Linked DNA regions of Xenopus tropicalis. Each later gene encodes a partner of the first gene's protein in a complex. Links are inferred from orthologs where the notes say so. Each region holds a gene or a part of one and is shown in the gene's direction. Other genes may lie near its edges.

Region 1 (3,991 bases):
CATAATCTTATGCCAAAAAGTGCTGTTCAAGGTCTGTTGCGTTGCACATACTGTACCTCATCTGCCTAAAGACCCTCTTACGTGACATTTTCAGATTGTGTGTTGCGTGGCCATTTCTAAATTGTATATAAGAATACCCACAGTGAATGCATTATCCCTCTTTAAATTTATAAAGTATCTCGCTGCCAAATGCAACTCTAAATCACATTGCTGTGTAGGATGGTCTGTGTTGCCAAAAGGCTCAACTTTGGCTTGGGAGTGGTCTTCACACAATGGCAGGTGCACTTTAATCTTAGTGGCTCTTATTCTAAACCTGAATCAAACATGGAACAGTAACAATGTATTTGTATCTAAGGTTTATAATAAGTAGGGAAAGTATTAAGGGCTCGCTGAGAATAGGCTTGATAGTGTATAGATTTAAGGTATAGAGCTTTTCTTACATTGTCTATTTTGTATTTCAGTTCCAATTATATTCTTCTAGATGAACAGTCTCTTTGGATTGAGGACACCACCAAGCTTGTCCATCAGGTGTGTGTAACTATAGAGTATTACTGTTTTTATGAGTCATTTCCTACCTGAAAACCAGATGTGATTCATTTCTCTCCCATCATACAGCTGCTTTCTGAAACACCTCCAGTTGGGGAAAAGTTTTCTAAAACAGTGGAGGTAAGATTATAATTTCAGCCTTCTGATCTGGTGAATAGCTATACAGTATTATAACTGATCTAACGGAATCAGAAATGTTGTTTCAGCATATACTGAATACTGAAGAAAACTGGAACGCATGGAAAAACGAAGGCTGTCCAAGTTTTGTAAAGGAAAGGTAAGGCATTTTTTTTATTTTCCAACTTTTTATAAGTTTTTACAATACATGTAAACCATAATACTTACACGGCTTACTTTATCAGTATCTGCAAAGAGAAAAGTAAAACATTGTAACTTAACAAATAGAAATGTCACACACATAACTATAGTTATAGTATTGACACCAGAAATATTCTTCCATATTTTTTTGAGCTTCCTGTATGAATGTTCTTTCCTAAATATTTATTGGAATTGCCATTTCATATACTACATTACTGCTAATTTCTCTCATCAGCTGGGAAATGTTTGGAACCTCCTGTTTTTTCCAATTTCTAGCAATTAAAAGTCTGACTGTATTTGATAATTGAAAAATTACTATTTCCAGAGCTTTGTTAGGAATTTTGTCATAAATGTTAAATAGCACCACTTCCGGAGATAAAACAAAATCTTGTGAGATGAAATTCGATATTAGAGAAAATGCTGAAGTCCAGAGGGATTGGATAGTAGAACAGGACCACCATAATGCGCAACATTTCTCCTATTTCATTGTTACACCTCCGACAAGTTAATACTCTTTTAAAAAATCTTTACTCCAACCTTTTAAGACCCGTTTTCAGAATGGGTTCCAAAATAGAAATTGGTGCCAATGGAGAAGGAAAAGGAGAGTATAATGGATCAATTATGCTTTTTCTCAAATTTTGACTGCAACTTTCAATGTAGGAGGCAAATCTATGTAATTATTCTTAACACCTTTACCATCTGACCATAGTAGTTTATCCCATGAAAATAGTTTCAGAAGAGTAGTTTCAATTTCTACCCATTTTTTTTGTGACTGTATGGATAAATAAGTCTATAGTTTGTATATTGGCTTTGAAGTATTTCTTTAGATCTGGAGCTCCAAGACCTGCTTTATTTCTTTGAAGAATAGATTTGGATACGCTAGGATACTCTTTCTTATTCCAGATAAATTGGTAAAACACATTAGTAATCTTACAAAAAAAAACAAACTGGAGGGGATTGAAATAAGGATAGTACAAAACAAATATAGTAGTTTAGGTAACAACAGCATTTTTATAGCAGCAATTCTTCCCATCCAAGAAATAAATAAGGGCTTCTATGTAATTATTTAATCTTTAAAAGCTTGAATCAATGGCCCAATTTTTCTGGATGTTTTGTTAATTTTATACCCAGGTAAAATGTATAATCTTTCCGCCAGTGAAATTTAAACTGACGTTTTAATGGAGATTGATCTTTAAGTGGTATGTTAAACATCATAGCTTGAGATTTATTCTCATTTATTTTATAGTAAGAAATGTCTCCAAATTCTTGTAATATTTGTTTAAATTTGGATAATCTCTCTTTAGGATTAGATAGTACTATAATAATGTCATAGACATAGTGTATAAACCTATATGATGATTTTTAGAGCCGATTCGTATTGTATGTATTAAATCTATAAATGATTATCTTTAGAGACTTGTGAATTGTATGTATTAAATCTATAAATCTAGTATTATCAGTGGATTGCCTGCCTTTAATAAAACCCACTTGGTCACTATTCAAGACCTCAGTTAGAATATCTTGGAACCCATTTGAAAAAAATTTTGAATAAAATTTTAAATCACAGTTTAGTAAAGAAATTGGTCTCTTTGGTATCTTTGTTGGGTCTTTCCCCTCTTTTGGTCTATCCGTTATTGTAGCCTGTAGTATTTCATCCGGAAAATGGCCTCCTGATAGTATAGTATTAAACAATTCTGTTCATTTTAGGACTAGTAATTTTGCAAATAACTTGTAATATAATACTGGTAAACCATCTGGTCCAGGCTTTTTTTTTAAAGGAGAAGTTTTTATGGCATCTTCTACTTCTTGTTGAGAAATCGTGAATTCAAGATATTTATTTGATCTGCAGTTCAAATATCAGAAATTAATCTATGCTTTGAGGATTGGGTTGAATCATTGTATTATCCTCTTTTAAATTATAGGTAGGTAATATTGAGCAAACGCTTCTGCAATATCTAAGGGGTTAGATATAATTTTACCATTATCCCTCTTATTTTAGATTTAACTTTAGCTTTTGTGGGCACACCATTGAGTATTCATAGAAGTATCATTAGATGAATTAAGTTCAAAATATTCTTGTAGACATTTAGAATAAAACTCTCTTTTAAATTACTCAATAAAGCCTCATTTAGTCTTCATATACTTGTTGGAATATTTTTTGTGGGTTCATTAATATTTCTGAGCGTGATCTGACCACGTTATAGTACCTATGGCAGCTTTCTTTAAGCCTTGGAGCAGTATTTTATCTACGTAAAAAAAAATCATTTTTGAATACATATCGTGAGGATGAAAGTAAAATGTATAATCCCTAGTTTTAGGATTAAAAATCCTCCAAACATATAAATTATGATGGAGTTTAATCTTAGTGAAACCGGTAACTTTTTCTTTTATTCTACCCTTTGTAGATTTTTGAGGTTGGAATTTATTAGAAGTAGAGGTAGTATCTAAATTAAGATCTAATATTAAATTAAAATCTCCACCTATTACAGTAAACACACTTTTGTTTGGTAATTTTATTAAAAAGAGGGGTTAAGAAATTAATTTGGGATGAGATAGGGGCATAAAGATTGCATTATTCAGCTTACAAATCAAATACCTTCCCCCAGGGTCAGACTCTATGGGGCAGATTTATCAAAGTTTGATTTTCGTACCTTTAAAAAGCACGATACAAAAAAATTGTATTAAATACGATTTTTTCGTATTGTGCTTTTTAAAGTGCGAAAAAATCGTATATGCTTCATTGCACTATTAAGTGCTGTTAACTTCAGTGGAGTGCAAACTTTCTTTGACCTGCCCATTGCTGACAGGCTGAGGACACCCTCTAGATCAGTGCTGTCCAACTGGCGGCCCGCGACCCCCCTCTGTGTGGCCCCCCACCTGTCTGGCTGCTTTGATGGCTTACTCTTGTGTAAGCTTTAAATGGTATCAGTACTGAGATTAACTGCCCCCCCTGCATGGTTCCCACCTCAGATTCAGCCTGTAATCGGGCTGTATTGTTTAAATATGTAATCCCCTGTGTTGTTCACACCTGTTAAACCCCTGCAGTGTTCACACCTTATGCTCAGGCTGTAATCACCCCCATTGTTCCCCTGTTCACACCTCAGGAGCAGTAGAAACCCACAAATAA
Region 2 (4,522 bases), on another chromosome or scaffold:
TGTCCCGCTTTAAGCGGGACAGTCCCGCTTTCTATAGCTCATCCCCCTGTCCCGGGTTGGTTTCCGGAAATGCGGGACATTCATAGAAGGATCCGTGACAGCGGGATGAGCGCTCCGACTCCTTGCGCTGCTTCTCTCATGTGGCTCCTTCTCCGGCGGTCCCTGGCCCTTTTATAAGGTTGCGCCCGTGCGTAATGACGTCACATGTACACACGGGGCGCAACCTTATAAAAGGGCCAGGGACCGCCGGCGAAGGAGCCACAGGAGAGAAGCAGCGCAAGGAGTCGGAGCGCGTATGGGGGCTCTGTGTTTGGGGGGCTCTGTGTATGGGGGGGCCTCTGTGTTTGGGGGGGCCTCTGTGTTTGGGGGGCTCTGTGTATGGGGGACTCTGTGTATGGGGGACTCTGTGTATGGGGGACCTCTGTGTATGGGGGGCCTCTGTGTATGGGGGGGCCTCTGTGTTTGGGGGGCTCTGTGTATGGGGGGCTCTGTGTTTGGGGGGCCTCTGTGTATGGGGGCCTCTGTGTATGGAGGGGCACTGTGTATGGGGGGCCTCTGTGTTTGGGGGGCCTCTGTGTATGGGGGGCACTGTGTATGTGGGGGCACTGTGTATGGGGGGCACTGTGTATGGAGGGGCTCTGTGTATAAAGGGTACTGTATATAAAGGGTACTGTGTATGGGGGGTACTGTATATGGGGAGGCTCTGTGTATGAAGGGCACTGTGTATGGGGGGCTCTGTGGGCTTCCTTAGGTAGTACAGTATGAGGGTATAGCACATTTGCATCTGATCCCACCATTTCAACTATATAAAAGGAGTATTTTTAGAAAAAAATGGGGTGTGTTAATTGGGGCGTGGTCACAAAAGTGGGCGTGGTCAAAAATTGCCCCTCTTTTTGTTTTTCAAATGTTGGGAGGTATGCATACATTATCTATGATACTGCCAATACCTGTCATACTTTCCATGTATAACCATACCGTGGGGACCTCACTTTAACCACCTTTTCTTAGACTAAGCACCCATTACTGAAATGGCTAGCTCGAAATAACGAGCTAGTTAAATCAGAATGAGCAGTGTTTGGAGACCTAGTAAATAGCGTGTCTCCAGCCACCTGGATCAATATAAATTCTAAATAGATAAAAAATGTATTGGGAGGAGAGATGTTTTCCCAAACATCTGTGGGGCCCCTTCCCTCCGTCAGCCTCCTGCCACCTATACACTGCCCGCAGCAAACAAAACTACCATGTAGTAGACCCACCGCTCCCGGTCCTCTTGTGCCCTGGGATCCACCGCAGCCGCAGGCGGATATTATACCATTAATAGTTCTGAAACTGCGTTGCTTATAAAATAATAATCTTTTTTTTTATAAAATAATATAATCTTTTGTCAGTGCTTATCGATACCAGAGTTTTTCCACTCTAGTTGAATTAAAACTTGCAAAACAACCAACAAAAGTAGGTTATGTATTTATTTAAATAGAAAGTAATGTTACACGGCACTACTACAGTTTATAAAAACGGGGGCTGCAACTTTTAATAAAACTTCCACATGATAAAAGTATCTTCTAAACCGGTTGTGTAATGACCCGGAAGTCGACTCTGTGTCGCCAAGGTAACGCGGAGCCGGAAGTCTGCTGTGGCCGTTGCTTCCGGTTAAGTACCATGTCTGTGCAGGAGATACAGGAGCATTTCAAAACCAATAATAAGACCCGAGAGTTCTCGGCGCACAGTGCAAAGGTTCATTCGGTGGCTTGGAGCTGTGATGGGAGGCGCCTGGCGTCGGGCTCCTTTGACAAGACTGCGAGCGTGTTTGTGCTGGAAAAGGACCGGCTGGTGAGTAATAGCGCCAGACAGAGACCCAGGCGTGTGTTGGGGTCGCTGTCGCATATATATGTATATATATATATATATATTTTTTTTTTTCTATCATTTCTATCCTATCTGCATACCGTTAAACTGCACTGGCACCCAGGTAGTATCTGAAACACAACCAGCACCAAGGGCCTTGTGGTTCAAACAAATATTGGTGTATTATAATTGCATGTACAACTGACGTTTCGGTCCCTTTTGGGACCTTTTTCAAGGTACCGAAACGTTGGTTGTACATGCAATTATAATACACTAATACTTGTTTGAACCACAAGACCCTTGGTGCTGGTTGTGTTTGATTTGGTGTCTATTTGGTATTCCGTGCCCAGGGGCAGCTACATTGTAGCAACTTTCGGAGTGTGGTGCTGTCGTGTTGACTTGTATGTATGTATGTATATAAAAAAGATGCTAGTAAGCAGCACACCATTAGTTAAAAGTTGATACCTGGGTGCCTGTGCGCAAAAACAATATACAGGCTCGGATGACGGCACACACAGGATTTGCACATAGAAGTCACTGGGTCAAATGAAAATTAATTGCATCAGAGGTTTATTAATTCCAACATTTCAGCTCCCTGACGAAAGCTCCTGTGTGGAGCTGAAACGTTGGAATTAATAAACCTCTGATGCAATTAATTTTCATTTGACCCAGTGACTTCTATGTGCAAATCCTGTGTATGTATGTAATTATATATATATATATATATATATATATATATATATATATATATATACACACACACACACCCCTTTCTGTGGTGCTGCTCAGCATTGAGGTGGGCTGCCAGCCCAGTACATTCCCACGTTCAGCTTCTGGGGTTTCTTTTGCATCATAATCAAAGCTTTAATAACTTCTCAGTCTGCTTTAATCTGAAGTTGAGAGACAGTGAGTAGCATATACCTACATTTACTTTACTCAGTGTCCCCCGCACCCACAGGGAAGTGCTGTCACTGTATGCAAGGGGTGTATATGCTATCTCTGTCCCTTAGTTACTTTTCTCTAGGTACTGAGTTACCTTTCCTCCCCACTACAAACACATACCAGCAGATTAGGAAGGACTGTATTTTTTCCCAGAAAAGGTGGCAGCCCTACAGCAGATTAGACCATAGTGTATGTAAATGTGATAGGGATTTTTAGATTGTTAGCTCCACTGGGGACAGGGACTGACATAAATTTGATTTAATCAAGGGTAATGGAATATGTTGACATTATATAAATAGAAATAAAAAAATCCCAAATTACTAAAAGGTTGCACACTGTCAAATCACTTTTATTAAGGGTGAAGATCCTCTGCCCAAGACGTCTGTGTAGGCCTGCAGAATGAACAGATCGTTGCCCAACCCAAGTCAACATTCTAATCACCCTCATTTGGCCTAGTGTGGGGTCAGGCTATTAGGCTGAGATTTACTCATTTAGCTTTCTGATGAAATGAGCAAATTGTTTAGCCAGCTTTACATGTACTTAGACCCTTATGTCTCTAATAACAGTCACCTGATTACAGAGCAACAAAATCTCAAAATATTTTATCTGTGCCTCTTTTTCAAGTTTTTAGTTCTAAATTCTGTGCATTTCCATGGCATCTGTGGTTGTGTTGCCATTTGTGCATGTTAAAAGCAAGGAAAGTGTTTCTTACCGGCTTATTCCCACTAACAGATTATATTGAGCTGAACCTAATCGCTAAGTTATATTATGTAAAAAGTGCCTCCCTGACTTACATTCACTTCTTTTGTTGCGTGGTCTGTATCGCTAAGCCACGCCGCCATGTTTTTCTGAATTACATGATGGATTATGAGTTCTGCAGTGTCTCTGTGCATGCGCCAACATAATCTGTCCCCTTTACCCTGCATGTTGCTGACTCATTCTTGCTCACGCTGACCAATCCTGCTGCTGACTTGAAAGTGATACTGACACGAAAAAACAACTTTTTCAAATCTAAATCTACATAAAAAGTTGGCTATAGGTTGTGTTGATCATTTTTTGCTGATAGGGCTGCTTTTGTAAGTAATTGTTACTTGAAATCCCAAAACCTGACTGTTTTGCCAGCCTGACTGTCCCTTCTCAGCCTGTCAGTTACAGCTTCTAATGCTAACGGCCTCCTGCTGGACAAATATGGCAGCCCCCTCATAGAGGAACATGGGGGATCAGATAGGGAATGTAAAAGCATTGGGCAAATACTTTTATGGCAAAATTATAAATAGCATGCAAAGACAATGTTATGACAGATGTAAAAATGGTTTCATTTCTGGTGTCAGTATCTCTTTAAGGCGCATGCTCCGGTCTTGGTCTCAGACCCTACAGAATTATGGGTAATTTGAAAGGAGAACTCAGCCTTTTTTTTTTTTCCCCAGTGCACTGCTGCAGGCAAAGGACTCCGCTCAAGGTGACTTTGTCAAATCGCGCCACCGTGTATGCCATCCCACCAGTGGTTTACATTCTAGCTGGTGGAATGGCATTTTGGGGAGATCCTCGTGTGTCACAGCCCTTAGGGCTGAACTGGATGCACAAACAATGCCACATATAATGGAGAATAGAGACAATAAGGAACTTGAGTAGGCACATCAGGACTACTATCTATTGGACTACTCACATTGCATTTCTACTTTCATTCTGATTGTGTTTATTTTATTTTTAGACCAAAGAAAATAACTACCGTGGG
Region 3 (4,490 bases), on another chromosome or scaffold:
ATAAGAGACTACTGCTTAAATATGTGGAACTCCCTCTTTTGACATGCTCTAAAACAAAGCTGTGCAACTGAGACTAATGAAAGCATTAACTCAGTATGGCTGTGTACCTTACCTACAGTATGTGTTAATATAGTACTTTGTTTAAAAATAGTCTGGTATTTTCTCAAGTTTCAATTCCTGTTCATCCTGCGAGCTGGACATGGCCCTCATGGGCTCCAAAGGCTGCTGGGCAAATGTTGAATGCCATTGTTTTATAATGGGAACGTGAATAAACACAAAACAATGGTACATTGGGCTTTTGCCTCTGATTCTTTTAGGATAGAAACTCAAATCATATATTTAAGATCAGTCAATGATTTCCATGTAATGGATCAGTTAGCTTGATATTCATGGGAGACATCACATAAACATAAAGGATACCTTTCATGATGATATGATGTCTCCTATGAATATTGAGCTAACTGGTCCATTACATGGAAATCATTGACTGATCTTAAATATATGATTTGAGTTTCTATCCTAAAAGAATCAGAGGCAAAACCCCAACGTGCTATTGTTTTGTGTATTATTAAACAACGGTATTCAACATTTTCAGCAGAGTAGGATGAATTATTACATTTAGAAGAAAATTATATCATAAAAATAAGTCTGTGGAATCCCTGAGCAGGCTGGGTGTCATTAACCACTAGGGCAGGGGTCCCCAAAATTTTGGACAAATGAGCCACATTTAAATGTAAGAGATGGGGAGCAACACTAGCATTCAAAAAGTTCCCAGGATTGCCAGATAAGAGCTGTGATTGGCTATTTGATAGCCCCTATATGGACTGGCAGCCTACAGTAGGCTCTGTTTGGCAGTACACCTGGTTTTTACCCAACCAAAACTTGTCTCCACACCAGGAATTTAAAAATAAGCACCTGCTTTGAGGCCACTGAGAGCAACATTTAAGGCAGGGGTGGCCAAAATGGCATTCGCGGTCCACCAGTCGATCCCCCATGGATTTCTGGTGGACCGTGTCTAAGATGTTAAATGCGGAAGTGCGGTGCGTTTATTGGGTATGCGTATGTACGCTGCGTTGCGTACGTACGGGGGGAGGAGCCAAAGTATATCGCTGGGGGGGAAAGCCTGGGCACTAAGGTGTGGGGGAGCCACTGTTTGGGGATCACAGTACTAGGGCACATTAGGCGCATCAGCAACTAGTGGCCCTCCAGATGTGGATAAGCTAAAAATCCTATTACCCTCAGACCCAGAGCAAAGAAAGGTATAAACACTGCTTTTAATAGCAATTACATTTACACTCAACTTTAAAACCAATGGAAATGTTTAATGAATGCATATTGGAAAGCCACTTGGAATTACATTTCTTTAAAACATTTTATTATAAAACAAAAAAATTATGTGGAGTTCCACTTTAAGAAAAAAAAAAAAAGTAGCAGTAAGGCAGCCACACCGGTCCTAGGGCCCGCCCCTGGGTTTGTGAGAAACAACAGTCACCGACACGTTAGAGACAGTTATATGTAGCCGGTAACGCTGAAGCCTCAGTGCAAACTATACAGACACAGGGACGCGTTTGCTTCCCCGATACTGAGCGAAGCGAAAGCACCAGCTCATTCCTTATTGTAAGAGAGAAGCGCCGGGACTCACCTCCCACTACCCAGCATGCTTTGCGGCGCCAGCTTCCCACTTTGACCTGCGCTGCTAAACATCCGGGCTATCGGGACTGTACAGGGAAAGATGGCGGCCACGTTACTACCCGCTGATTGGATAAAGAACTGGGAAAAATCCGGAAAAAATGACTTGTAAGTAATGGAAATATGTTTTAGTGCGATGACAGAGCGGGAGGTGAAAGGCGGCCGTGGATGGGGGAACCGAGCCCTAGGATACCCGCCTTTTCCCGAGCAAGGGGAGGCCGCCAGGCTTTAAGGGCAGGCGGCGGCTCCCGCTACTCACTGCTATAGAATGGTGCAAGTTATAGTTCATTGGGAGCCAGAGGTTCGAGATCCCTCCATGCACTATGGCTGCGGGATTGGCCCCTCCGTGAGTCAGGGCCCCGACAGGCAATCAGTTAGGCAAGGGCACGTGTTAATTGGCTTCACTGCAAGGCCATCCTGCTGTTAATGGGAAAGGCGGTCCTCCTGCTGCTAGCTGTGCACACAGGCTGGGGGCTGCGCTTAGAACCCTAAGGCTGGGGGCTGCGCTTAGAACCCTAAGGCTGGGGGCTGCGCTTAGAACCCTAAGGCTGGGGGCTGCGCTTAGAACCCTAAGGCTGGGGGCTGCGCTTAGAACCCTAAGGCTGGGGGCTGCGCTTAGAACCCTAAGGCTGGGGGCTGCGCTTAGAACCCTAAGGCTGGGGGCTGCGCTTAGAACCCTAAGGCTGGGGGCTGCGCTTAGAACCCTAAGGCTGGGGGCTGCGCTTAGAACCCTAAGGCTGGGGGCTGCGCTTAGAACCCTAAGGCTGGGGGCTGCGCTTAGAACCCTAAGGCTGGGGGCTGCGCTTAGAACCCTAAGGCTGGGGGCTGCGCTTAGAACCCTAAGGCTGGGGGCTGCGCTTAGAACCCTAAGGCTGGGGGCTGCGCTTAGAACCCTAAGGCTGGGGGCTGCGCTTAGAACCCTAAGGCTGGGGGCTGCGCTTAGAACCCTAAGGCTGGGGGCTGCGCTTAGAACCCTAAGGCTGGGGGCTGCGCTTAGAACCCTAAGGCTGGGGGCTGCGCTTAGAACCCTAAGGCTGGGGGCTGCGCTTAGAACCCTAAGGCTGGGGGCTGCGCTTAGAACCCTAAGGCTGGGGGCTGCGCTTAGAACCCTAAGGCTGGGGGCTGCGCTTAGAACCCTAAGGCTGGGGGCTGCGCTTAGAACCCTAAGGCTGGGGGCTGCGCTTAGAACCCTAAGGCTGGGGGCTGCGCTTAGAACCCTAAGGCTGGGGGCTGCGCTTAGAACCCTAAGGCTGGGGGCTGCGCTGAGAACCCTAAGGCTGGGCGCTGCGCTGAGAACCCTTAGGCTGGGCGCTGCGCTGAGAACCCTTAGGCTGGGCGCTGCGCTGAGAACCCTTAGGCTGGGCGCTGCGCTGAGAACCCTTAGGCTGGGCGCTGCGCTGAGAACCCTTAGGCTGGGCGCTGCGCTGAGAACCCTTAGGCTGGGCGCTGCGCTGAGAACCCTTAGGCTGGGCGCTGCGCTGAGAACCCTTAGGCTGGGCGCTGCGCTGAGAACCCTTAGGCTGGGCGCTGCGCTGAGAACCCTTAGGCTGGGCGCTGCGCTGAGAACCCTTAGGCTGGGCGCTGCGCTGAGAACCCTTAGGCTGGGCGCTGCGCTGAGAACCCTTAAGAGACATGGTATCCATAGTGTAGGCATCTGCCTGCCCCAGTTTTCATGGTCTCCCTCTCAACAGAAATGGCCAATGGAAATATTGGTATTTTTCTCTGCACTGATTGTATGAAATACATTATGTGGTGTCTTATTTGCTTCTTGTTTAGATGAGCTCTCTGTCAGTATACACATTGTCTCACCCCTTTAGATTGTATGCTCTTAAGATCCAGTTTTTATTCTATAATCTTTGTTACACAATTGTAAGTTATACATTGTTAGGCACAGGGTGCACCACTGGTGCTATATAAGTAAATTATTCTACTGAGTTAGTATAGTAACGTTTGTTGACCCCCTCAACCCCTACTCTCTTGGACTTGGTGTGTTTGATCTTTCCCTGCAAATATCTTCATTACCTATAGAAGTAGTATCAACACTTGTCATGATCACGTGTCATTCCTTCGGTTAGAGTATTGTGAAATCAGGTTTTTTTCCTGCACCGCTGCGTGATTACTTACCTGCACTGTCATTCTACATCCTAAAATGAACCCGCTAAGGCCTTTATCCTGGAGCTGCTCAGGGTGCAGATGTTGGACAGTACTGCAAGAAAATTAAGCAGTAAATTGAGCAGGGATAACATAGGCTTTCTGAACACATTTTACTGCTGTATCCTACAGATGGCCAGTGTTACCAAGCAGATCCGGCCTGCAGTCTCTATGAGCGTTTCTCTTTGGTGACAATGACTTGTGGGTCTTAATTAAAGCAGAAAAGTATGTGGCTTACCCAGTAGCATTGCAATATTTAACATGACATGATGGAGACAATGCAGGGGTTCTTTTAAAGGACATAACCAGTTAGGGAATTAATATTTAGGTGACTTATTTCACCTTTATTTACTTAGTAAATCTAAGCAGGCATTCATAACCTTTGGGGCACTTGTGGTTACTGTTTCTTTAATATCATGAACATTAATTTATTCCTCTTTGTCAATGCCAACAGTGCCCTTGTAAAACAAATAATCCGAAGCCAAAGCCCAGGGTAGTGGTTTTGTTTATCACCATGGCACATTAAGGGGTGCCTAGTAAACTAGTGCTCACCCCACTGTTTTAAGCTTTCTTTATCCTTTAATGCTTTCTTGGCATTGTTAGAACTCAGAAGGTTTTATTTCCTTAAAGGGGAAATGTAGTTGGTATAA
Region 4 (4,517 bases), on another chromosome or scaffold:
GGGGAGTACTAGTGCTAGTGTAAGTAATGGGGAGTACTAGTGCTAGTGTAAGTAATGGGGAGTACTAGTGCTAGTGTAAGTAATGGGGAGTACTAGTGCTAGTGTAAGTAATGGGGAGTACTAGTGCTAGTCTAAGTAATGGGGAGTACTAGTGCTAGTGTAAGTAATGGGGAGTACTAGTGCTTGTGTAAGTAATGGGGAGTACTAGTGCTAGTCTAAGTAATGGGGAGTACTAGTGCTAGTGTAAGTAATGGGGAGTACTAGTGCTAGTCTAAGTAATGGGGAGTACTAGTGCTAGTGTAAGTATTGGGGAGTACTAGTGCTAGTGTAAGTAATGGGGAGTACTAGTGCTAGTGTAAGTAATGGGGAGTACTAGTGCTAGTGTAAGTAATGGGGAGTACTAGTGCTAGTGTAAGTAATGGGGAGTACTAGTGCTAGTGTAAGTAATGGGGAGTACTAGTGCTAGTGTAAGTAATGGGGAGTACTAGTGCTAGTGTAAGTAATGGGGAGTACTAGTGCTAGTGTAAGTAATGGGGAGTACTAGTGCTAGTGTAAGTAATGGGGAGTACTAGTGCTAGTCTAAGTAATGGGGAGTACTAGTGCTAGTGTAAGTAATGGGGAGTACTAGTGCTAGTGTAAGTAATGGGGAGTACTAGTGCTAGTCTAAGTAATGGGGAGTACTAGTGCTAGTGTAAGTAATGGGGAGTACTAGTGCTAGTGTAAGTAATGGGGAGTACTAGTGCTAGTGTAAGTAATGGGGAGTACTAGTGCTAGTCTAAGTAATGGGGAGTACTAGTGCTAGTGTAAGTAATGGGGAGTACTAGTGCTAGTCTAAGTAATGGGGAGTACTAGTGCTAGTGTAAGTAATGGGGAGTACTAGTGCTAGTGTAAGTAATGGGGAGTACTAGTGCTAGTGTAAGTAATGGGGAGTACTAGTGCTAGTCTAAGTAATGGGGAGTACTAGTGCTAGTGTAAGTAATGGGGAGTACTAGTGCTAGTGTAAGTAATGGGGAGTACTAGTGCTAGTCTAAGTAATGGGGAGTACTAGTGCTAGTGTAAGTAATGGGGAGTACTAGTGCTAGTGTAAGTAATGGGGAGTACTAGTGCTAGTGTAAGTAATGGGGAGTACTAGTGCTAGTGTAAGTAATGGGGAGTACTAGTGCTAGTGTAAGTAATGGGGAGTACTAGTGCTAGTGTAAGTAATGGGGAGTACTAGTGCTAGTGTAAGTAATGGGGAGTACTAGTGCTAGTGTAAGTAATGGGGAGTACTAGAGCTAGTAATGGAGTGCCAGTACTGGTATAATGGCAGCAGGTCCCAGGGCAGCACGGATTGCAGTGCAGTTATGTAGAAATATAAATACTCGGGGCAATAATCATGTCAGGAATGAGGAAAGGGAATGGGGCTGTGACTCCCAGCTGAGTGGCACTTACCTGCGGGGCCCGGGGAGGCCTGCCTGGGGCTGTGTGTCCGGCTGTGGGCAGGAGGCGCTGGGCCGCCCGACACTGGGGGGAGCTTATAGGGAAGGCGAGGCGGTGACCGAGGCCTCCATGCTCCTGCCTGTCTCTCCGGCTGCTGCCGCCGCTGCTGCATTCTGGGAGTCTGACCTCACTGCTACTCGCCGCCACCGCCATGGGAGCCGTCACCGACGGTAAGTACAGCGCCCTCCTACCCCACCGCCTACACCCTCCGGCTCGGCCTCAGCTCTGCCTGCCCGGGTACCGACCGCGGGAAACCCACACCGGCCGGCTAGGCCGCAAAGCCCCGGGCTCGAGTTAGGGCTCTGGGGGAAGGAGAGCGGTACGGACTTCCGGCCCTACTCCCCGCTCAGCGTATCTTATATGGATAATATTATATATATATTTATGTAGTGCTACTTAGTCTCATATGGATAGTATATATATCGCTGCTGTATCTATCCTAGGGACAATATATATTTATACCGCCACTGTTATTCTGTATGAATGGATGTACTCTGTCTCTATCTTATGGGTATGATATATATATATAGTAATCTAATCAGATAATCTGTCTATATCCTAATGTACATGTACCGCTGTGTATATATCCTATGGATACTTTTATGTATACAGAGATTTCACCTACTCACTTTTTCACTGTTACTGGTGACTTAATGGGTCTCATTGACTGTTAGCTACACACACAGGGCACTCAAGTAGGGTTTTTATAAAGTTGCCTGGCATAAATTGTAGACAGACTGCTATATATTTTATATTATTTTGTATCAATAAACCAGTCACCATTGCCCAAGGTGCTAGGGACAATTTACAGCCACTATTATTTTGTATGAATTATATTTATGTACCTTTACTCTGTCTCTATCTTATAAATATGATAAATGTAGTAATCTAATCAGATAAGCTGTCTATATCACAATATAATATACATGTGCTGCTGTCAATAAATCCTATGGATACTTTAATGTATGTATACAGAGATTTCACCTACTCACTTTTCACTGTTACTGGTGACTTAAAATGGGGGTCTCATTTGCTGGCAGCTACACACAGGGCACTCAGGTGGGATTATTTTCTATTGTTGCCTTGCATAAATTGCAGATAGACTGCTATATATTGGCACAGGATATATGATATGACCATGTATCATTTTGTATCAAAAACCAGTGACCATTGCCCAAGGTAGTTTGTTTGGCCAGATAATCATAATAATATGTGAATCTGTGTATTTCTATATAATGATCAGCACCCTCACAAGTCTTTTTAATTTCATTTAGAGCTCATGTTATGATCAGTTTAGTCAGCCTTTCAGCCATGGTTTATAGCCCTCAAGATTCTGAAATTTTATGTCAGACTGAACACCACACAGTTCTTTTTATAAGATGTCAGTCTTATAAGGGAGATCAGTGATACTGTCAGGCATTTTTAAGACCACGTTCCACTTTACAAGAAATGGTAATATGGAATATTGTTTTTCCAGGCCACTCATGGGAAATATCATTATCTCCCTGATAGTATGGGGTTAAGTCTATTAAATATACCTGTTGGGTACCCTGCACCCTCTTGGTCTGCTATCTCTGTTGTTAGGTTTACCTTTGCCTCCTTAACTAAATGGTGATCAGCTTTCCATCTGCAAGAGTCCTCCATTAGATTTCACAGGCTGGCCAAACCACATATCCACACTTATTCATGAAATTTAGATATGTTTGATTTTTGCAGATGCAATGTTTCTAAGCAAAATTACTTTGACAATTCCTTTGAATTAAGTCCAGGTAACTTGGTACTTGGCACCAGTATGGCGCACATATACTGCCACCTGGGATGTCTCTCTCTGTGGATCTAGAATTCTTGGAGATGCTAGGCAGGGTATCCAAATCTATCCTGTTCTGTTACTGTATAACTGCTTGATGGTAACCTTCTCTTACACAGTGACCTGTCTTTGTGCAGCAGCAATAAAATCCACTATTTCCATTTCCTTCTGTTCTTTTCCAGATGAAGTTATCCGCAAAAGACTTTTGATTGATGGAGATGGTGCCGGAGACGACCGAAGAATTAACTTATTGGTAAAGAGTTTTCTGAAATGGTGCAACTCGGGTTCCCAAGAAGAAGGGTAAGAGGCACCAAGTGACTGTGGCAGTAGTTCCACAATGTTATTTTTATTAGCAGAACTGAAGCTTCAACCAGTTTCTAATCATGTCTGGGAAAAGTATGATTCCAAAATTATTGCTTGGTAAAATTCTTTGTGGAGATTTCATAATTATGGAAAATTCATTTTCCCTCTGGAAGAGAAAGCAGCAGAAAATATGTATAAATGTAAGGCCATCATTGCTGAGTAATCTGTGCTGAAACAGTCCAACAGGAAGGGCAGAATCCAGGTTACTCTGAAAGGAGATTTTGAACCCCATGCTTACCAAAGATTGCTATTGGTTTTTTTTAATTTTACTTCAGTGTCAACTGGGTTGCAAATGTGTTTATAAGATAACTGCTAAGTTGGAAACCAGATGTATATATGAAACTGAATGTTTATGGGACCACTAAAGCCATACTAAAACTCTACTGAAAGGTATGATAAGTGGAAAGGCTGCTGTCACTTTGCCACTTCCCAGCGCAATGAGGTAGCTCAGTGGATTGCAGATGGGTTGCCAAGTTTAACTAATTACATCTCTTGGTGACAAGGAAGGACGAAAACAGTTCTAATGTCCCCTAGGAAAGCACTAAAGTGAGTCTTGCTGGGCAGCCAGAAAAGGGTAGGGTTGTATTTGTCTTTTTTTGCTTCAGGTAAACATAAAGGTCTGGACTATTCAACTGAAAGCCCGTGGGTTAAATATGACCTGCTACATGGTCAAGAGCTCCATAGGCCACATCTGATGGCATCATTGTGAAATGAGATTGTATGCTATGGGCCAGTTAACAGCATGCAAGTGACAGGTCTGTTAATCACGTAACATACAAGGGATTGTGGGAATTGGAGAGGACAGCTGAATACTGCTACACTGTTTTAATAATATTTGTAGTTGGGAAAAGGACAGAAATTACTTCCA
Region 5 (4,592 bases), on another chromosome or scaffold:
CAAGAACGACATTTTAAATGGTAGAGTGAATTATTTGCTATGTAAACAGTGTAATTTAGAAATAAAAAGTATACCATAAAAATCATAACAGTGTCCCTTTAAGGAAAGATGTCAGCAACACTTAATTCAAGAGCTGATTTGTGTGCCCAGGCACTTGCAGCAACCCAGACTCAACTGCCAAATGAGCACTTGACACAAGTTTTTTTTTGCACACAGCACTGTGCCATGCAATCTAAAATAAACCCTATTGTTTAATAAAATTCAGATGGGAGCAGGCTGGATTATCATACCAACCCTTTAAAAAGCCAGGGTATCTTATGTTTTTAATATGGATGTTTAAATAAAAATGCAAATTTTTTTCTTTTAATTTTTGTGTGAAGTTTGGGATCCGTATGGATTCTGCTGTTTGGCTTGTTCTTTAAATCTGGGGGCTGTGTCCTATCTACTTTGGCTCTTTTTGACTGGCTGTTGAGGATCCTTCTTTTTGAATTAGTATTAATTATTTAACCCACGAACCAAGCAGCACACAGAGCAACACTGGAACTAAAAAAATATTTTTACCCATAGTAAACTGTTAAAGTTATTCCATGAACTTTTTTGTGATCTAATGACAGTGTGTTAATAAAAAGGTATCAAATACACTCTTAAATGTCCTTGTCTATAACCATACATTATTGTTGTCCATTGAAATGAAAGCAGGGAAACAATTACTGCTAATGAATCTCTCAGATGTTTACATAATTCAGTGGAGCTAATAGTGCAAGGCTGGATGAGACGCTCAATAAGAACTACAGACCCTTATTATGGGACGCCACCGGGAATTCTTGAGTGTATGTGGTGCTGGGGAATGGGCTTGATGCATGCAGTTTCTATGCATACAATATAGTTTGTTTAAAGAAGCAGAAGAGTCTGTGAGAAGCCGCACAAAGGCATGTGATGGTACAACCAAACATGTTTTGAACGCAGTATTTTATTACCCATCAGGTGCCATAGATGGCAAGTAACCCCATGTCATGAGAGAGATAATAACCCAATTAAGGATTTATTTTTTAAAAAAAAAAACCTAATTCCTCTTTTATCTCAATGGCAACGTAAAATAAGGTGTCAAAAATCCATGATCGCCGTCACGCACAGACAGGCACGTTCAGCATACACCCCTCTAGCTTCTGAACTGCCACCGGTCAAGCACCGCCTTTACACAACACAGTATAACCACCCTGCATAATAATAAATAATGCTTAACCCTCTCACCTGTAGTTAGACCACCGCCTGTCACCGGTAGCCAGGAAACACAAAGCACTTCCGGGAGGAAGCTGTAAGAGGGTGGTGCTCAAGTTGCGTTTCTATCTCCTATCCCCAACTAAGATGGCAGATATACGGAAGTGAGCTTTCTCCTGACTTCCGACCTCCAATAACATGGCAGTAGTTACCCAAAGCGTCACTCAGTCTGCTGCATAAATAGACCCGGTGATTGGCTGAAAGATTGTTCACAGCTCTAAAGCGGATTGGTCCAAACTGACCCAACCTCTGCAGTGGCGGCTTGACCCCGTAAAGGCCAAAGGTCTCTCCTCTCACTTATAGGGCTGTATTGTTTAATTTCTTTTGGAAGGACGAGGTTCTGCTTTCTGGAAGGCGGCAGAGAGCTCACAGGAAGTTGATAAATAGAAATTTGTTGGTTACTTCCACCTCTGTCGATCCAAATTGCCGCGCGTATTTTTCCACTGACGTCAACTGGGCGACGAACCAATCCGCGTGTCGCACCTGAGTTGTGCTGCGCAAGGCAAGTTGGCGATTGAAAGATGGCGGAAACTGTGGAGCTTCACAAGCTGAAGGTATTCCACGCAGGGAGTGGGTTCTTTCTATCGGGGCCTCGTGTTATAACTGGAAATCGTTTTGTGGCACTGCACCTTTTATATGAATAGCGCAGGGTTCTTCTATCCGTATAGGTTCTGTCTACATCCAGTGTTTGTAATGGCTTTCCGCAGGCAGTGCTGGTAGTTGGACTTCAGCATTGGGTTAAATGAATCTATTGATATAAAATCCCTGTAATAGAATCCTGTCAACTTATTTGTGGCCTAGTGATTCCATGGCAGTGCTAGATGCTGCTAATTGCTCTGATTTATTTCTCGTTTGTAACCCAGCCCACCCAGCTCACCCAGCTAGATTCTTTGGGTTTTTTTAGGAAATGTGCCCATTCTAGTTTGTTTTCTGGAATTTTAAAACAAAAATAATTGTATTTTGTGAATTACAGAAATAATTGTAACTTTGTGAGATCAATTCAAACCAATGGGTACATCTGTGTGTTTCAACAGAACTTTTTTCCCTCAGGATATTCACCGATTCTCTACATGTGTCAAGTGTTATTGAGTTTCTTTATCATTAGAGGAGAACTTAATTTATAATTGCTGGGGGTGCAAAACTGTTAGGCACCCCGGCCCGTTGTTCCTGTTAACTAGAAACTGCGCCAGCCCAGGGTAGGATCATATTTGCCACAATAATCTTCTGTCTTCTTTTCTCGGGCCTAGGCAGGTACATGTGCAGTTGAGTGGGAAAACAGTCTTTTTGTGTATAAGTTCTGCACATGCACCTGCCTGGACCAGAACCAAGAGAAGACAGAGGAAGCCGAAGTAGATGAAGAGTTCACACCATAGGAATAAGTGCAGGTATATGGAGCGGAGTGGAGGTTGACCTGAAAAATGGGAAAGCAGGCAGAAATTTGTACTTTTCGGTGCAGATACAAGGAGTTGCATAAGAGAGCAGATCCACTTTTCTCAACCTAAAGAAAAAATGCTGATTGAGCAGCACTAACAATACAAATCTGATTACATTTTCTGCAATCCTGGCTTGGATTCCTGACATTATTAAAATAATTTAAGTTCATGTATATTGGAAAGTTGCTTTATTGCGCAGAAAGTGTTTAAGTGGAAGAACCCTTTAAACTAAACTAATCTTGTTAAGGCTAAAACAACTAACTTTAAAACTGCTAAAGTGGCCCAAGAAATGACTGAAATGATTATCTACCATAGGATTACGGGCAAACACTGTCAACAGTTCTGGAATCATGCCTATAAATCCAGCTTTTTAGTGGTGATGCAAGATTTATCTGGGATTTATTTAAGTAGCACCACAAATATACAGTGCTTTTTAAGGGGGAAACCTAAACAGGGGTACAGTTATTATAAATTAAACGGCATAAATACCTACTAACACTTTACAGATTATTGTATCTGAATTTACAAAAATAGCTAAGACAGAGTGCGCAAGAAATTACTTGCGCTTATGCTTGTAACTTCATATGACTATAATATTGTATTTTGCATGGTTGTATTCGAAACAAGGCCAGCTTTATTTGCAGTTATGGTGAGGTAACAGAGGACCTATCGCCCTCATACATGCCTCCTATGTACTTCACTAAGAGAGGCACTAAATTGCTACAGAACAGTTGCCCATAGCAACCAATCAGGGTTTTGCTTTCATTATTTCACTAGTAGTAGTAGACTGGTCAAAACTAATGTTGATTGGTTGCTTGTAAAATTTAGCACTTATGTTAGTGAGCCCTAGTTTTGTTTTACTCACACTTTAAAGTACTTTCAGAATGTATTCTCAGAATATTAGGGAAAAATGTATTACAACCCTTTCTTAGATTGTACATACTGTAATCCAGAAGCACTCTGGAGTCGTTCTCTCTACTAATGAGAATTTCACCAATTTTATTTCTTGCAACAACATATTGAATTCTTGGCACAAGTATAATTGTTCCTGGAAAGTTAGTTTATGCAATAATTTCTTTCCCTTTTTTTTTTTTTTTTTTTTTTTTTTTTTTTTTTTAGTTGGCTGAACTAAAGCAGGAGTGCCTTGCTCGTGGCTTAGAGGTGAAGGGGAACAAGAGCGATCTTATCAGCCGTCTGCAAGCCTATATAGAGGAACATGGTTCGGAAGAACTTCTGTTAAATTGTTTGTTTTTTTTTTTGTTTTTTTTTAAATATGTTTGTTTTTAATGGCATTTATATGGCATAAGCACACTAACAAACTCTGTGGGGCCTATCTTTTTCCTCCTCTGTAATTTTCATCTAACCATGCTTCAGGGACATAAGATTATGTCTCTAAACTAAACTGTTATTCATGATTTAAATTAGACGGAATGCTTTGTTTGTAGTTCAGGAGTATTATGCAATACCTCTGCAGAGAAATGTGAAGTCTACACATATAGTTTACACCTTTTGCAGAAGCCAGGGACTGGCTTCCAACAGGAATATCCAGATATATATATGCAATTAAAAATTGAAGCTAAGAAAGTATAAGTGAACCATAATTATCATATTTATTTACATAGATTGCTTCAATAGTGTCACAAACTATATTTTTAAAATGACTTTTTTTGTAAGAGGCTAAAAACAGTAACCATAATTCACATAGAAGGACATATCATTTATGTTTTCTTGTGATTTTGGATTGTGGATTTTTTTTCTAGATTGCAATCATGCAATCTAGAAATGATGAAAAATGTCCAAAAGCAAAAACTAAATAGACAAATGTAAAGACATTTAGAGGACACAAAGTAAAATAACTATGGGTTGCCAAGTTAGTCACCC
Region 6 (3,492 bases), on another chromosome or scaffold:
GCCCTGGGTACCCCTGGAACTATAGCGGGGTGACTGTTACCCCAATGTTTCTATATATCTGTAACCTTGTTATGGGCTAAGGGGGCCCAGCCTGAAGGCCAGTTAGGGGGGGATTTGGGGTGAGTGGGTATTTGTGCCCTGGGTACCCCTGGAACTATAGCGGGGTGACTGTTACCCCAATGTTTCTATATATCTGTAACCTTGTTATGGGCTAAGGGGGCCCAGCCTGAAGGCCAGTTAGGGGGGGATTTGGGGTGAGTGCTTATTTGTGCCCTGGGTACCCCTGGAACTATAGCGGGGTGACTGTTACCCCAATGTTTCTATATATCTGTAACCTTGTTATGGGCTAAGGGGGCCCAGCCTGAAGGCCAGTTAGGGGGATGTATAACTATGCTGAACACTAGTATCCTGTTGGCATCTGAACCTCACAGACTGAGGGCATGAAGTATATAAACACCAGGTTGGAAGATACAGTTGATTGTAGCTGAGGAGAGGCCCATGGTGAGGCAGGGGTACACCCAGGCATTACTAAGCGCCTGAGTAGCAAGCAGACAGAAGCAGTAGATGAGTGAGGGGAGAGGCAGAACTACATAAGACACCATTATTAATACACAACTTTTTTTGCAGGTACAAGTGTAACGATCCGCCACGGTTCACCCAACCAACCCAGACGGGTTCCGGGCCATTTGGGCTAGTATGCCAGAGTAACTGTAAAGTAATAAATATATTATATGAAGCTTTTGCCTCAGTGAGATACCAGGCTGATACAGTATCTGATGGTATCCCATGGCCTCTGTGTTGGCTGATCCTCTGATTAATACTAAGTGAGGCCTGACCTACATAGGCTCAGCGGAATCGTATAGATGCCTCCTTGTGTCCTGTTACAGTGAGTGGGGTGCCTTACACTGCCCCCCTCTATTGCTTGGCAATAGGGACTCCGGTGCTTGGACTGGAGGCTGTGTAACATTCTAGCACCAAAGCCTCCGTCCCTCGGCCAAACGGCCAGGAACATGACTGTGTAGGGTGGTGCTGTGGTGGCACCGCTATATCTCTGATTGGAAGAAACTGCCTCTATAGAGGCTGCTCATTGGCTCTCGGGCTTCTGTCTATGGATGTAGCTTATGTTACTGAATTTCCCTGCCTAACACTGTCCCTTTCTCTCGCTAGAGCCTAAAGCAGCGTCTCGGTAAGAGCAATATCCAGGCCAGGCTGGGAAGGCCGGTGGGAGGTCTCGTACGCGGAGCCATAGGGATGAGAGGAGCAGGAATGGGACTACGAGGCGCACAGAGAGGGATGATGCGTATTGGCCGCGGGGGGAGAGGAATGGCCAGGGGAGCCATGGCTATGAGGGGTTAGTTCTGGATTCCCTGCACCCTAACACTGCCGGGTTATGGAACGTGTAATCCTAACTTGTATCTTCTCCTTCAGGGCAGAACCTCCGAGGCCGAGGTGGAGTAGCCAGAATGGGTCTGAGGAGAGGGATGCGGGGCCGCGGGGGTCCCGGGAGGGGAATGATGAGAGGGGCTATGGGCCGAGGCGGTATGAGTGCAAGAGGTAAGTGACGTGATCCTGTACCTGTGTAGTACATCAACCTTAGGGCCTGGCGGTACCAGATAGATAATCTCCTTAGTATATAGCCCCTGGGTATCTGTGTGTCCCAGTCATCTGTATTGATAGATGTGTTGGGATACTCTCCTTAGTATATAGCCCCTGGGTATCTGTGTGTCCCAGTCATCTGTATTGATAGATGTGTTGGGATACTCTCCTTAGTATATAGCCCTGGGGGGGTCTGTGTGTCAGTCATTGGTATTGATAGATATTTTGGGATACTCTCCTTAGTATATAGCCCTGGGGTATCTGTGTGTCCCAGTCATATGTGTTGGGATACTCTCCTTAGTATATAACCCTGGGGTGTCTGTGGCCAATGATCAGTAGGCAGGACTGGTTGCACCTGAGATCCTTACTAAACTTTACCCCCACCTCCTGGCTGTGTGCCTTAAGTGGTAGCCCCTTACTGAGCCTCTTTCCCTCTGCGCAGGACGCGGGGGCATGACCAGAGGGAGGGGCTTTGTGCGCGGCAGAGGACGAGGGAGAGGAAGGGGCGTGGCCCGCCCAGCGATAACCAAGGAGCAGCTGGATAACCAATTGGACGCGTACATGTCAAAGACCAAGGGGCACCTGGATGCCGAGCTGGACGCCTACATGGCACAGGCAGACCCCGAGTCCAACGACTGAGCCGCCGAATGTTTTTATATATTTCTAAGGAACAGACTCTTACCAGCACGCGCACGACTGTGCCACGCCTCCTTTTGGTACCGCCCCCTGGTTTTAGCGTTCCTTTTACATTTTTCATACCTATTTGTTCTTTTGACTCTATTTTATTAACCATTGAATGTACGGAGGCGAGCGACAGGTTGGCACACTAAGTTCCCGCGGCCCCGTGCCGCCCCTTGGGTTCGATTGCCGTCAGTTTGTGCAAAGTTTACGTTGCCCCTCGGTATGCTGCTGCACTTGGATACCACTCATAAAGTTTTGTGCGTTTTGTAAAAACTTGTTTTCTGTGGGTTTGTATTGTGTGGTGCTGTTCCGGCCATTGTCGGGGTGCCTTTATTTATAAGGGGGCTGTATTCAGGATCGGACTGGGGGTGCAGGGCTTACAGAGGAGCAACGGGGCTTTATTCAGGGTCGGACTGGGGGTGCAGGGCTTTCAGAGGTGCAACAGGGCTTTATTCATGGTCGGACTGGGGGTGCAGGGCTTACAGAGGTGCAACAGGGCTTTATTCAGGGTCGGACTGGGGGTGCAGGGCTTACAGAGGAACAACGGGGCTTTATTCAGGGTCGGACTGGGGGTGCAGGGCTTTCAGAGGTGCAACAGGGCTTTATTCATGGTCGGACTGGGGGTGCAGGGCTTACAGAGGTGCAACAGGGCTTTATTCAGGGTCGGACTGGGGGTGCAGGGCTTACAGAGGAACAACGGGGCTTTATTCAGGGTCGGACTGGGGGTGCAGGGCTTTCAGAGGTGCAACGGGGCTTTATTCAGGGTCAGACTGGGGGTGCAAGGCTTACAGAGGTGCAACGGGGCTTTATTCAGGGTCGGACTGGGGGTGCAGGGCTTACAGAGGTGCAACGGGGCTTTATTCAGGGTCGGACTGGGGGTGCAGGGCTTACAGAGGAACAACGGGGCTTTATTCAGGGTCGGACTGGGGGTGCAGGGCTTACAGAGGAACAACGGGGCTTTATTCAGGGTCGGACTGGGGGTGCAGGGCTTTCAGAGGTGCAACGGGGCTTTATTCAGGGTCGGACTGGGGGTGCAGGGCTTACAGAGGCTTCTGCCCCAGGGGCCCTTGCCGTGTCGGAATCAGGTCTGGGCCAGCAGGACCTACCAAGGGTGGGGGCCCACCAGGGTTTTAGCCCAGTCCGACCCTGACACTGTTCTTGCCTTTTTTAGGGTCCACTCTAAACTACAGCCCAGTTCATAATGATGGCACGAGT
Region 7 (3,991 bases), on another chromosome or scaffold:
GTGTTAACTGGCAAAACCAGAAGTTGGAGGAGATACAAAGTATATTTAGGGTATACTAAATGGTGAATGGGTGGGATTGTGAGGGGTTTACATTGTATAAAACTATTATTTTACTGGATGTGTATGTAGGATTTCTTTAATAGTGTACACAGCAGGTGTTTACAGGCAATAGATCCCAATGACAGCATTTCTTTGGTATTTCAGAACATGGTAGCATTCCTGTATCTTTGGAGTGCCAAACTCTTTTCCCAGCCAAGGTTATATCTCGACTGACAAAGTGGAATGTCATCACCTATGAGGATTATCTAGTGAGTAAAATCTTTTCACTTTATAAACTGACATGATTCTTGAGCAGATGGCCATTTTGGGGATTTGCATTGGATTGCAATTACTCCATAAAGTTCTCTAAAAATATGAGGTGAACCTGGTACTAAAAGTTAGATTCTCTGATACATTACGTTTTTTGCAGCTTCTGCCAGTATAGAAAAATATAGAGTACTGGGCCCTTTTAAACTGCACAGATATGGGCAGTTTTAAAAAAAATGATTTAATATGAGTTTGCCTTCTGAAACCCCAAGCAGTAATGTATATGAAAGCAATAGATTGTTATTACTCTATTACTCTGTCTATTGTACATACATAGATATAATTAGTATTGTTACCTGGATTTTCTACTGCAGGCGCTGCCGTATACAAAAGATGTTATAGAGTGTGGACTAGCAAAGGAAACGGATCAGTATTTCTATCTGCTTATTGAGCGAGGAACAGGTATGATGGGGCTGATCAATGGGATGTTTTATGCTAAATGTACATTAATATGCAGCAGTAAATGGTGGCATGATCTTAATACTCAGAGGCGCTGTATGAAAGCATGTACAGTGGAGGAAATAATTATTTGACCCCTCACTGATTTTGTAAGTTTGTCCAATGACAAAGAAATGAAAAGTCTCAGAACAGTATCATTTCAATGGTAGGTTTATTTTAACAGTGGCAGATAGCACATCAAAAGGAAAATCGAAAAAATAACTTTAAATAAAAGATAGCAACTGATTTGCATTTCATTGAGTGAAATAAGTTTTTGAACCCCTACCAACCATTAAGAGTTCTGGCTCCCACAGAGTGGTTAGACACTTCTACTTAATTAGTCAACCTCATTAAGGACACCTGTCTTAACTAGTCACCTGTATAAAAGACACCTGTCCACAGAATCAATCAATCAAGCAGACTCCAAACTCTCCAACATGGGAAAGACCAAAGAGCTGTCCAAGGATGTCAGAGACAAAATTGTAGACCTGCACAAGGCTGGAATGGGCTACAAAACCATTAGCAAGAAGCTGGGAGAGAAGGTGACAACTGTTGGTGCGATTGTTCGAAAATGGAAGGAGCACAAAATGACCATCAATCGACCTCGCTCTGGGGCTCCACGCAAGATCTCACCTCGTGGGGTGTCAATGATTCTGAGAAAGGTGAAAAAGCATCCTAGAACTACACGGGAGGAGTTAGTTAATGACCTCAAATTAGCAGGGACCACAGTCACCAAGAAAACCATTGGAAACACATTACACCGCAATGGATTAAAATCCTGCAGGGCTCGCAAGGTCCCCCTGCTCAAGAAGGCACATGTGCAGGCCCGTCTGAAGTTTGCCAATGAACACCTGAATGATTCTGTGAGTGACTGGGAGAAGGTGCTGTGGTCTGATGAGACCAAAATAGAGCTCTTTGGCATTAACTCAACTCGCTGTGTTTGGAGGAAGAAAAATGCTGCCTATGACCCCCAAAACACCGTCCCCACCGTCAAGCATGGGGGTGGAAACATTTTGCTTTGGGGGTGTTTTTCTGCTAAGGGCACAGGACAACTTATTCGCATTAACGGGAAAATGGACGGAGCCATGTATCGTGAAATCCTGAACGACAACCTCCTTCCCTCTGCCAGGAAACTGAAAATGGGTCGTGGATGGGTGTTCCAGCACGACAATGACCCAAAACATACAGCAAAGGCAACAAAGGAGTGGCTCAAGAAGAAGCACATTAAGGTCATGGAGTGGCCTAGTCAGTCTCCGGACCTTAATCCAATAGAAAACCTATGGAGGGAGCTCAAGCTCAGAGTTGCACAGAGACAGCCTCGAAACCTTAGGGATTTAGAGATGATCTGCAAAGAGGAGTGGACCAACATTCCTCCTAAAATGTGCGCAAACTTGGTCATCAATTACAAGAAACGTTTGACCTCTGTGCTTGCAAACAAGGGTTTTTCCACTAAGTATTAAGTCTTTTTTTGTTAGAGGGTTCAAAAACTTATTTCACTCAATGAAATGCAAATCAGTTGCTATCTTTTATTTAAAGTTATTTTTTCGATTTTCCTTTTGATGTGCTATCTGCCACTGTTAAAATAAACCTACCATTGAAATGATACTGTTCTGAGACTTTTCATTTCTTTGTCATTGGACAAACTTACAAAATCAGTGAGGGGTCAAATAATTATTTCCTCCACTGTACATAGGCAGTGGTGAAAAAACTTGTATCCCGAGTCATAGATCTGTGCTCCAAAGGGGAACAAGAATTTCTGTGAAAACGGCTGTAGATAAACCAGTAGTCAATTGTCTTTTATATAACACTTTTTTTCATTTGCTTGTTATCCTCTATAGCTAAGCTCAATGGAGTAGTGGTTCTGAACCCTGGTTATTGTGCTGTACCTCCAGTGTTTAGCCTCTGCCTAAACTGGAAAGGAGAACGCTCATCCAGTAATGATGACAATATCAGGGTAAGGAAACACTTTATAATTATTATCGATGCATGAGTTTTCAGCCCTCTCAGTGTTTGTATTCTAAACCTCAAAAATACTGTGAAGCTTCGCTCCTATAACTTAAATCTTCATAGGCTATAGGCTAAAGCACCCCCCAGCTTGACCTGACTATGCTTTACACCCCTGTGGGTATGCTTCAACCCACAGACAGTTTAAACAGTTTCAGAAATTCAACTTAATAACCATTTGGAAAGGTGTAAGGGAGGTAGGAAGTGGCAGAGGAATACCATGGACAAAAAGATATGCTAAGTACATAGTCTTAGAATAGTATTAGAATTCTTCTATAAGTAACATGGGGAAACATAAAGGCCATTATCAGAGTACAATGAAATCACAGCTAGCTGTTCTAGATTTCATAACGACAACCTCTTGATTAAGTATGTCAGCTGTATTAAAGGCAGCCTAGCTCTGATAGGTTCAGGAAGTGAGTCCATACACTATATTGTTAGACGTTATATTAGACATAGGTTCACTGGTAAATAATGCAGTCACATGCCTTGGTAATTCAAATTTAATACACTGATTAATGATTTAGTGAGGCTTTCTTAAATGAAAAAGTAAATTAGTGTAAGGTCTGAGATTAATTAGTTTGTTTCAAGCTATTTTGATCATACATTTCATGAACACCTTAAATAATTTGTACTTTGGCAGGTTATGGAGAGTGAGGTCAATGTCTACTTCAAGGAACTGTGTGGCCCTCCTCCAGGATTCCAGCTGCTGACAAACCAAATTCAGAGGCTTTGCATGCTGTTGGATGTCTACCTAGAAACTGAACGCCATGACAACAGTGTGGAAGGGCCTCATGAGTTTCCTCCAGAAAAGATCTGTCTGCGCCTACTCAGGTGAGGGATGTCCCATTATATATACATTCCTTTGCCTTTTTGCCTTTTGCTAGTTATTCTCTACAACTGACTTTAGAAATGCATTGAGGTTTTTTTTTTATTCATTTATTTTTTCCCCTTATTGTTTTTATTTGTTATTCCTTTATTAAATTTTATATTGGTGCCTTTTTCTTTGCTTTGTTTCTGACTACTTTGCATGTTCTACACATTTTTATTCTTTGTCCTTCCTTCTGTCTTAGGGGGCCGAGTCGTACCAAGCCATTCAAGTATAATTACCCTCAAGGATTCTTTAGTCACCGCTGAGTTCCAACTCTTTCAGCATTTTCTCTGCCACCACTGTTGCTTGGAC

The links.
Region 2: thoc1 (region 1) and thoc3 share a complex: the UniProt entries of both Homo sapiens proteins name them as parts of the transcription/export (TREX) complex. The link is inferred for Xenopus tropicalis from reciprocal best matches to the Homo sapiens genes THOC1 and THOC3.
Region 3: the proteins of thoc1 (region 1) and thoc2 are in contact, whole or in part, in a cryo-EM structure (PDB 7ZNL), measured with the Homo sapiens proteins. The link is inferred for Xenopus tropicalis from reciprocal best matches to the Homo sapiens genes THOC1 and THOC2. Residues at the interface, in NP_005122.2 of Homo sapiens: Asn134, Arg138, Asn141, Leu144, Arg145, Lys149, Thr153, Cys156, Gly157, Gln160, Leu161, Ala164, Arg165, Phe167, Gln242, Phe245, Arg246, Tyr297, Ala299, Lys300, Phe301, Arg319, His320, Leu323, Gln324, Ile327, Tyr331, Arg373, Phe374, Lys376; in NP_001075019.1 of Homo sapiens: Leu155, Phe156, Tyr157, Lys158, Gln160, Asn163, Leu164, Leu165, Arg166, Asn169, Glu170, Ala173, Lys174, Ile176, Ala177, Gly180, Gln181, Asn195, Lys197, Ser198, Leu199, Ile200, Gly201, Cys202, Phe203, Asn204, Leu205, Pro207, Asn208, Arg209.
Region 4: the proteins of thoc1 (region 1) and thoc7 are in contact, whole or in part, in a cryo-EM structure (PDB 7APK), measured with the Homo sapiens proteins. The link is inferred for Xenopus tropicalis from reciprocal best matches to the Homo sapiens genes THOC1 and THOC7. Residues at the interface, in NP_005122.2 of Homo sapiens: Leu10, Arg14, Glu46, Gln53, Arg56, Glu60, Ile63, Ile64, Asp99, Asp102, Cys103, Leu104, Pro105, Arg146, Gln151; in NP_079351.2 of Homo sapiens: Tyr47, Gln51, Leu54, Ser55, Ser58, Gln59, Phe62, Gly65, Lys66, Leu69, Val70, Met73, Arg76, Glu77, Asn80, Ile84, Ile88.
Region 5: thoc1 (region 1) and sarnp share a complex: the UniProt entries of both Homo sapiens proteins name them as parts of the transcription/export (TREX) complex. The link is inferred for Xenopus tropicalis from reciprocal best matches to the Homo sapiens genes THOC1 and SARNP.
Region 6: thoc1 (region 1) and chtop share a complex: the UniProt entries of both Homo sapiens proteins name them as parts of the transcription/export (TREX) complex. The link is inferred for Xenopus tropicalis from reciprocal best matches to the Homo sapiens genes THOC1 and CHTOP.
Region 7: the proteins of thoc1 (region 1) and thoc5 are in contact, whole or in part, in a cryo-EM structure (PDB 7APK), measured with the Homo sapiens proteins. The link is inferred for Xenopus tropicalis from reciprocal best matches to the Homo sapiens genes THOC1 and THOC5. Residues at the interface, in NP_005122.2 of Homo sapiens: Glu60, Arg145, Arg146, Leu147, Ser148, Ser150, Gln151, Lys285, Met286, Leu289, Val296, Tyr297, Phe298, Leu302, Ser304, Leu307, Leu310, Gln311, Ser313, Asp314; in NP_001002877.1 of Homo sapiens: Tyr52, Arg113, Lys120, Asp124, His127, Leu128, Gln131, Asn132, Leu134, Tyr135, Glu136, Met138, His139, Thr145, Lys146, Glu149.

The regions. Positions count from the first base shown.
Region 1 is NC_030682.2:108,273,365-108,277,355, forward strand, and holds part of thoc1 (THO complex subunit 1), read left to right. Parts: intron 1-461; coding exon 462-528; intron 529-615; coding exon 616-666; intron 667-752; coding exon 753-823; intron 824-3,991. UniProt on the Homo sapiens protein: Component of the THO subcomplex of the TREX complex which is thought to couple mRNA transcription, processing and nuclear export, and which specifically associates with spliced mRNA and not with unspliced pre-mRNA.
Region 2 is NC_030679.2:45,416,809-45,421,330, reverse strand, and holds the start of thoc3 (THO complex subunit 3), read left to right. Parts: upstream 1-1,563; 5' UTR 1,564-1,578; coding exon 1,579-1,830; intron 1,831-4,498; coding exon 4,499-4,522. UniProt on the Homo sapiens protein: Component of the THO subcomplex of the TREX complex which is thought to couple mRNA transcription, processing and nuclear export, and which specifically associates with spliced mRNA and not with unspliced pre-mRNA.
Region 3 is NC_030684.2:48,870,115-48,874,604, reverse strand, and holds the start of thoc2 (THO complex subunit 2), read left to right. Parts: upstream 1-1,475; 5' UTR 1,476-1,732; coding exon 1,733-1,797; intron 1,798-4,490. UniProt on the Homo sapiens protein: Component of the THO subcomplex of the TREX complex which is thought to couple mRNA transcription, processing and nuclear export, and which specifically associates with spliced mRNA and not with unspliced pre-mRNA.
Region 4 is NC_030680.2:145,033,114-145,037,630, forward strand, and holds the start of thoc7 (THO complex subunit 7 homolog), read left to right. Parts: upstream 1-1,591; 5' UTR 1,592-1,630; coding exon 1,631-1,649; exon of another isoform or gene 1,650-1,808; intron 1,809-3,468; coding exon 3,469-3,586; intron 3,587-4,517. Other genes in the region: atxn7 (ataxin-7), read right to left, coding at 1,432-1,591. UniProt on the Homo sapiens protein: Component of the THO subcomplex of the TREX complex which is thought to couple mRNA transcription, processing and nuclear export, and which specifically associates with spliced mRNA and not with unspliced pre-mRNA.
Region 5 is NC_030678.2:138,209,607-138,214,198, reverse strand, and holds the start of sarnp (SAP domain-containing ribonucleoprotein), read left to right. Parts: upstream 1-1,514; 5' UTR 1,515-1,799; coding exon 1,800-1,832; intron 1,833-3,830; coding exon 3,831-3,930; coding exon of another isoform or gene 3,931-3,954; intron 3,955-4,592. UniProt on the Homo sapiens protein: Binds both single-stranded and double-stranded DNA with higher affinity for the single-stranded form. Specifically binds to scaffold/matrix attachment region DNA. Also binds single-stranded RNA. Enhances RNA unwinding activity of DDX39A.
Region 6 is NC_030684.2:144,115,381-144,118,872, forward strand, and holds the end of chtop (chromatin target of PRMT1 protein), read left to right. Parts: intron 1-1,167; coding exon 1,168-1,351; intron 1,352-1,428; coding exon 1,429-1,554; intron 1,555-2,038; coding exon 2,039-2,235; 3' UTR 2,236-2,550; downstream 2,551-3,492. UniProt on the Homo sapiens protein: Plays an important role in the ligand-dependent activation of estrogen receptor target genes. May play a role in the silencing of fetal globin genes.
Region 7 is NC_030677.2:144,833,450-144,837,440, forward strand, and holds part of thoc5 (THO complex subunit 5 homolog), read left to right. Parts: intron 1-204; coding exon 205-308; intron 309-680; coding exon 681-768; intron 769-2,642; coding exon 2,643-2,758; intron 2,759-3,451; coding exon 3,452-3,642; intron 3,643-3,881; coding exon 3,882-3,945; 3' UTR 3,946-3,991. UniProt on the Homo sapiens protein: Component of the THO subcomplex of the TREX complex which is thought to couple mRNA transcription, processing and nuclear export, and which specifically associates with spliced mRNA and not with unspliced pre-mRNA.